Kluyveromyces lactis: one gene and its partner. The protein of the gene in region 1 purifies or fractionates together with the protein of each later gene. This does not show direct contact. Links are inferred from orthologs where the notes say so. Each region holds a gene or a part of one and is shown in the gene's direction. Other genes may lie near its edges. The genes, in order: POR1 and HSP60.

What was found.
Region 2: the proteins of POR1 (region 1) and HSP60 purify together in Saccharomyces cerevisiae (affinity purification with mass spectrometry, with the first as the bait; 3 studies listed by BioGRID). This does not show direct contact. The link is inferred for Kluyveromyces lactis from reciprocal best matches to the Saccharomyces cerevisiae genes POR1 and HSP60.

What each region holds. Positions count from the first base shown.
Region 1 is NC_006042.1:333,150-336,269, reverse strand, and holds POR1 (porin POR1), read left to right. Parts: upstream 1-1,580; coding exon 1,581-2,429; downstream 2,430-3,120. Other genes in the region: FG-nucleoporin NUP159, read left to right, coding at 3,043-3,120. UniProt on the Saccharomyces cerevisiae protein: Non-selective voltage-gated ion channel that mediates the transport of anions and cations through the mitochondrion outer membrane.
Region 2 is NC_006042.1:871,367-875,375, forward strand, and holds HSP60 (chaperone ATPase HSP60), read left to right. Parts: upstream 1-1,514; coding exon 1,515-3,239; downstream 3,240-4,009. Other genes in the region: SCS3 (Scs3p), read left to right, coding at 3,884-4,009. UniProt on the Saccharomyces cerevisiae protein: May participate in assembly and/or disassembly of proteins imported into the mitochondrion. HSP60 are ATPases and have affinity for unfolded proteins.

The sequences.
Region 1 (3,120 bases):
ATCCACAACACTATCTTCCGTAACCTCAGTATTGTCAAGAAAACTTGAGCTGGTCCACAATGTAATGTATCTTTGCTTTATATTTCTCTACATGGTACATATTCCTGAGACTCAAACGACAAGTTCTGAACTGAAAAATACACTACGTATTTTTCAATCATGCAAGAATACCGTTCAGAGGATTAGAGGGCAACAGGGAGATGTTTAGGTTTTCATCATGACTTCGGAAAACAAACACAGATGCAGTCGTCAACTGTCAAAAAGCGAATGTGAACTGTCACTGGTGTGATGCTATTCGCCATTATATTTCAAAAGACAATACTACCACATCATTTTCAGTTTCAAGGTATATCTAACTATTTTCTACTACTAGGAAACTGCATTTTCATATTGTTAACTCAAAGTGGAATTTCGTTTTATAAAGCCTAATTATTGTTCTCGAAGTTTAGTTTTCATGATAACTTTTCGTTTTTCCGGTATATGAGACAAAGGACCGATTTCTCGGATATTCACGTGACTGTTTAACAAGAAAATCTACACACCAAGTGGAGAATCTTGCCTCCGCCATGTGAAAACCAAACTAGAAAGAGGAGAGATGCACACATACACAATTCTGTTGGAAGAAAAAAAAAATTGTTGCGTACATAGCGATATATTCACGTGACTCTAAATGCGAACGTCATCACCCCGGTCCCACTGCGTGTCTCTTCGAGTCAGCACTAATAAAAGTCGGAAATCAAAATGCAAGAAAGGATTCCAGATATATCCGGCGCAAATGAGTCGCCTCCAATTGTCAATCATTACGTGGTCTCTTTTTTAATTAATTTTCTTTCGGTTTTTGTGTAGAGCTCTCAAGAGTGCCGGAGTGATAGATTAAGACAAACTGAAATAGGGAAGACTACAAAGCACATGGGGTGTAGACCCAAACTATCAATAATTGCAACATGATAGTCCAATTAACGTGTTCTATACACTTCCATCAATAACCTGTATATAGCCATTTTTATTTAGCCTCAAATGATTGATATCTGTATGCAGTATGTACAATCTACAAGATATATGCTCGAGAGCAAGTGCGTAAAGAATCTCAAAGTGAGTTAGTCCGACATCCGCTCTTAAAACGACACCTCAGGCAAAAAACTGAGCTACTCTCCAGTTGCGTATAGCAGTCCCCGCTACCCCACTATAGACGTGCGTTCCCACTGTATTAAATCTCTCGTCCCCTATAATTTTCACTTGGGAAGCCTTGTGCTTTCCAATGTTTACATTTTCTGGCTACACGGTATTTTTGTTGAAAACTGTGAAAAATCGAGAAAAGTTCACATTGTCATTATTTGTATTTATAAAATCGATATTATATATAAATGAAAGAGATCGAGATATTTTTTTTTGGGAAATTTGCGAAAAATCTTGGATGCACACCGAATTAAAATGGTGTCTGTCTCTTGCTTTTGTGTTATGTAGTAGTTCCTTCTTGGTTTTAGCGGTTGACTGAACTCTAATTGATTCACATTTAGATCAATCGCACTTCCGAAAGCTTGCTTCCGCCCTCTAACAAAAAATAACTTCAAAGATTTACAATGGCTCCTCCATTCTTTTCTGATATTTCCAAGGACATCAATGGGTTGTTGAACAAGGAATTCTTCCACGCTACCCCAGCTTCTGTTGACGTTAAGACCACTGCTCCAAACGGTGTTGCTTTCACTGTTAAGGGTAAAACTTCTCCAAAAGATGGCTCAATTGCTGCTAACGTTGAAGTTAAGGCCTCTGACAAGTCTACTGGTTTGACTTTCACCCAAGGTTGGAACAACGCCAACACTTTGGACACCAAGATCGAATTGGCTGAATTGACTCCAGGCTTGAAGACTGAATTGATCACTTCTGGTGTTCCAGGTGTCTCTAAGGCTGCTAAGTTGAACGTTAACTTTGTTCAACCTTTGTTTGCTGCTAGAGGTTTCTTCGATTTGTTGAAGGGTCCATCCTTCGTCGGTGACTTGACCTTGGCTCACGAAGGTTTCGTTGGTGGTGCTGAAGTTGGTTATGACATCTCTGCTGGTGCCGTCTCCCGTTACGCTTTGGCTTTGGGTTACAACGCTTCTGGTGCTTATTCCGTTGGTTTGTCCGTCAACAACGCTCAATTGATCACCGCTTCCTTCTTCCAAAAGGTTTCCCCAATCTTGCAAGTCGGTGCTAAGGCTGCTTTGAACCCTCAAGCTGGCTCTAATGTCAACATTGAATTCGCTTCCAAGTACGCTTTGGACGCCGTTTCTCAAGTTAAGGCTAAGGTTGCTGACTCCGGTATCGTCGCCTTGTCCTACCAACAAATATTGAGACCAGGTGTCACTCTAGGTATTGGTGCTTCTTTCGACGCTTTGAAGTTGGCTGAACCAGTCCACAAGTTGGGTTGGTCTCTATCGTTCGCTGCTTAAATGCATACTTAGTAATTTTACACAAGTGTTAAAAAGAAGTGTTACTTTTTTCTAAGTTTATGTTATTTTGCTTTGTCCAATGGATCACCAGCCTAGGTTATCAATTTTGAAATGATTCACATTCAACTAAAGTATCATTCTTCTTGGCGTTCCATTTGATACCGATATATATATATATTGCCTTTCATTTTGTTCGCTTTTTTTTCAGAACAACAATATCCGCTTTGTTTTCATTACAGATATGGCCTCAATTACAATGTTAACGCCTACTTCTTTCGAAGATACTTACCTAACTAAATACGTATTCTTTAATGACCATCTAAAAAATTTTATATCTCAAAACATTCATGTCATAGTAAAGACAATAAAACATGAACACTAACCTCATACTGATTTCCGGATCACGTGATTGATAATTTCCTTCTTTTTGGAACTTTGTTTACTTCAAAGCTATCATCAAAAAGCTTCAAACCTGTACAAGCACTGAACATTGCAACTGATGCCCATTGAAATTCAAGGTTTACAAATTAATAAGCAGCTGAGGTTTATATTAATACACTAACGGATTGAAACTACTACTGTCGGCACAGATAAAAGAACACATACAGAATCAATGACGTCCTCTGTGGTTGATGCGTTGAATGTTGAAACTACTGAGAGCTTGGGATTCAAGTTTTTATTCTCTAAACAA
Region 2 (4,009 bases), about 540 kb from region 1:
AATGTCTGACGCGAACAACCCATATACTCAAGTTGACCATTTATTTATATTCAAAGAAAAAACTGCTTTTCATATCCACTCAACAAGTAACATTTCCTAGTTGTGATAAAGCAGCAACAATGATCTTGGTAATATACTAAATTTTGAAACGCAACTGGGACTTTTGAGTGCATTCTTCGATATTAAAGATTAGTACCAAATAATAATTGCTCACGAGTGAATAAGAATATTTCAAGAGATAAAAAGTGCACAAAACACAAGCCTGAGATGAAGCCCAAAAAACTAATCAACTAACCAATTAAAACTTGTAGTGAGCAATGTCACTGTACTCTACCAGCTCCTGATTTTACCTAACACATTCATTTAAATCATGTGTCAATTGATTAGTTCAAATGTCAAGTGAAGCAAAGAATTCTGTCGCGTGTCAAAAGTTGGCGAGTCAGTTAATTTCATGTCAACAAAATGAAACACTTACGCACGTGATTGGCAAATAGATCGCAGCAGCTTCAGTACATTAGTCCAGCGAGCCAAAAAAACCTCAATCGAGTAATTCTTTGCCTGGCATCTACACATCACGTGACTTAAATCGATACTATCGAAAACATAACTCCTTCCTACAAACCGCCGCACTGTCGAGGAGAGCGTGATCAAATAGCGAAACTATTTCATGACCGTTTCTGTCGAACTTTCTGGAAAAATGAAAAAAAAAATGAAAATAATGTGAGCGGCCATAAGGCATCATTCAAAACGATGTACAGCTCCTGATTCTCCAGGCGAAAAGCCAAATCCAAAAAAACTGGACATCCAAATGTCTATAACAAAAATGGACGAATGACGGTTATATTAGGTAAAAATAATTCAGTTAGGTAATGGTGGTGAATAGCGAACTCGGAGAAACTGCCAGAAAAAAATAATCGACAATAGCGGAACCTGCCTCACGATTACAGAAGAGGATAGAACTCTTGTGTGTATATAGGAATTTTAATTAACTCTTTGACTACTTTTTTTTGGAATTAATTAGCTGGCAGAAAATGAAAGAATTCTATGGGCTCGCAGTGGAGTTCAGCAATGCGGACATGGCTGGCTGCTATCTAGTAAGAGTTAACCCAACTATTGTTCGAATCCTTATTCCTATTTCTCTTAAATGTGTAATCTGACCGGTTGATCCGCAACTTTATATGCCATTTTCTGTGTAGCTTTCTTTCCAAATTTCTCGATTTTATCATCTTCATTTTTTAGATATTTTTTTCACGGAATATAAAGGAAGGAGTAGAGGCGAAAAAAAAAAAGGATTTATAAAGGATCAAATAATTATAAGATTGGAAGGATTACTAGAAGCTAAGTGGTTTTTTGATTGATTGATTGTTGTCTTCTTTGTGACATTAGCTGAAGGAACTAGTGATAGCAAGATTTTCGAAGCAAAAGTAACATTTTCCAGTAGGTGGTGTTTTTTTTTTTTTGGATTCTGATTTCTTTACCTGTTATAGATTTTTTAATATACGAGAATAGTCACTATGTTGAGAAGTACCGTAAAGCCAGGCAATTTGACCTTGAAGAGAAGCACTCAATTGTTGAGTCGTCGTCTATATTCTTCGCACAAAGAATTAAAGTTTGGTGTTGAAGGTAGAGCTGCCTTGTTAAAGGGTGTTGAAACTCTAGCGGAAGCTGTTTCTGCCACTTTGGGTCCAAAAGGTAGAAACGTTTTGATTGAGCAACCATTTGGCGCTCCAAAGATCACCAAGGATGGTGTTACTGTTGCTAGAGCCATTACTTTGGAAGATAAGTTCGAAAACATGGGTGCTAAGCTTTTACAAGAAGTTGCTTCCAAGACAAACGAAGCTGCCGGTGACGGTACCACTTCTGCCACTGTCTTAGGTAAGGCCATTTTCACTGAATCCGTTAAGAATGTTGCAGCTGGTTGTAACCCAATGGATTTGAGAAGAGGTACTCAAGCTGCTGTCGAAAAAGTAATTCAATACTTGTCAGAGAACAAGAAAGAAATCACCACTTCTGCTGAAATCGCTCAAGTGGCAACTATTTCTGCCAACGGGGATGCTCACGTTGGTAAGTTGTTGGCTTCAGCCATGGAAAAAGTTGGTAAGGAAGGTGTCATCACTATCAGAGAGGGTAGAACCTTGGAAGATGAATTGGAAGTCACTGAAGGTATGAGATTCGACCGTGGTTTCATTTCTCCATACTTTATTACCGACGCTAAATCTGGTAAGGTGGAATTTGAAAAACCTTTGATCTTATTGAGTGAAAAGAAGATCTCCTCAATCCAGGATATCTTGCCTTCTTTGGAATTGTCAAACCAAACCAGAAGACCATTGTTGATCATCGCCGAAGATATTGATGGCGAAGCTTTGGCTGCTTGTATTTTGAACAAGTTGAGAGGTCAAGTTCAAGTTTGTGCCGTTAAAGCTCCAGGTTTCGGTGATAACAGGAAGAACACCTTGGGCGATATTGCCATCTTGTCTGGTGGTACTGTCTTCACTGAAGAATTGGACCTAAAGCCAGAAAACGCTACCATCCAACATTTGGGTTCTTGTGATTCTGTTTCTATTACCAAGGAAGATACCGTTATCTTGAATGGTAACGGTCCAAAAGAAAACATCGAAACCAGAATTGAACAAATCAAGAACTCTATTGACTTGACCACTACCAACTCTTACGAAAAGGAAAAGTTGCAAGAACGTTTAGCTAAGTTGTCCGGCGGTGTTGCCGTCATTAGAGTCGGTGGTTCTTCCGAAGTCGAAGTCGGCGAAAAGAAGGACCGTTACGATGACGCTTTGAACGCTACAAGAGCTGCTGTCGAAGAAGGTATCTTGCCAGGTGGTGGTACTGCTTTGCTAAAGGCTTCTAGAGTCTTGGACGAAGTCGCAACAGAAAACTTTGACCAAAAGTTGGGTGTTGACATCATCAGAAAGGCCATTTCCAGACCAGCTAGAAAGATCATCGAGAACGCTGGTGAAGAAGGCTCCGTTATCGTCGGTAAGATTATCGATGAATACGGCCAAGACTTTACCAAGGGTTACAATGCAGCCAAGGGTGAATACACCGACATGTTGGCTGCTGGTATTATCGATCCATTCAAGGTTGTCAGAAGCGGTCTAGTAGACGCTGCTGGTGTTGCTTCTCTATTGGCTACCACTGAAGTTGCTATCGTTGATGCTCCAAAGCCAGCTGGTGCTGCTCCAGCTATGCCAGGTGGTATGCCAGGTATGCCAGGCATGATGTAAAGTGGAACAATTACTTGAAAACTTGAAAAGTGAAACAGATCAAAGAAAACAACCGTCAAAAAATGTTAGAATTACAAGAATTTTTACTGAACATTAGCTTTTTCACCTAAAATACATTCCACTTTTATTTAAATGAATATATAACGTACGTATAATGACGATCCCGTGTAAATAAAAAGATACTTCTACATGTTTAAATAGTTTCCTCATCATCAACCCGCTTTTCAACACTTCCTCTGTCCTTGACAGGATGGCTAGCATTCTCCAGAAGGTACAGAGAAAAAGGAAAAAGCAGAGTGAAAAGAAAAAAATTTGGGGCGAGCTGGGAATTGAACCCAGGGCCTCTCGCATGCTTTGCAGTAGTTAAACCTCGTTTATCGAAGCTTCGCTAGGCTATTAACCCAAAGCGAGAATCATACCACTAGACCACACGCCCTAATTTATGAAAACTGAAAAGCGTCATCTTGTTACATTGAAAATGCAGTACCATAACTTATGAGTATGCATTACCTGATTTTGCCAAAAGATGACGTTTAAAAATTAAGGTTGGATTCACTGCCAACTGTTAAGATCGATGTTGAATTATCATCAATGGCAAGCAAACAAAGATATTCCACCAAATAAGGCACTTCAAAATAACAGTTATGAAACGGGTATTTTGGTTGTTATGTCCAGTTTTATTTTTAGCTCCCTATGTTTTGCCGATTTCACTTGGAACAGCTGATAAAGATGGAATACTGAACGTATATTTTGTTAAGTTTGGTTGGTTT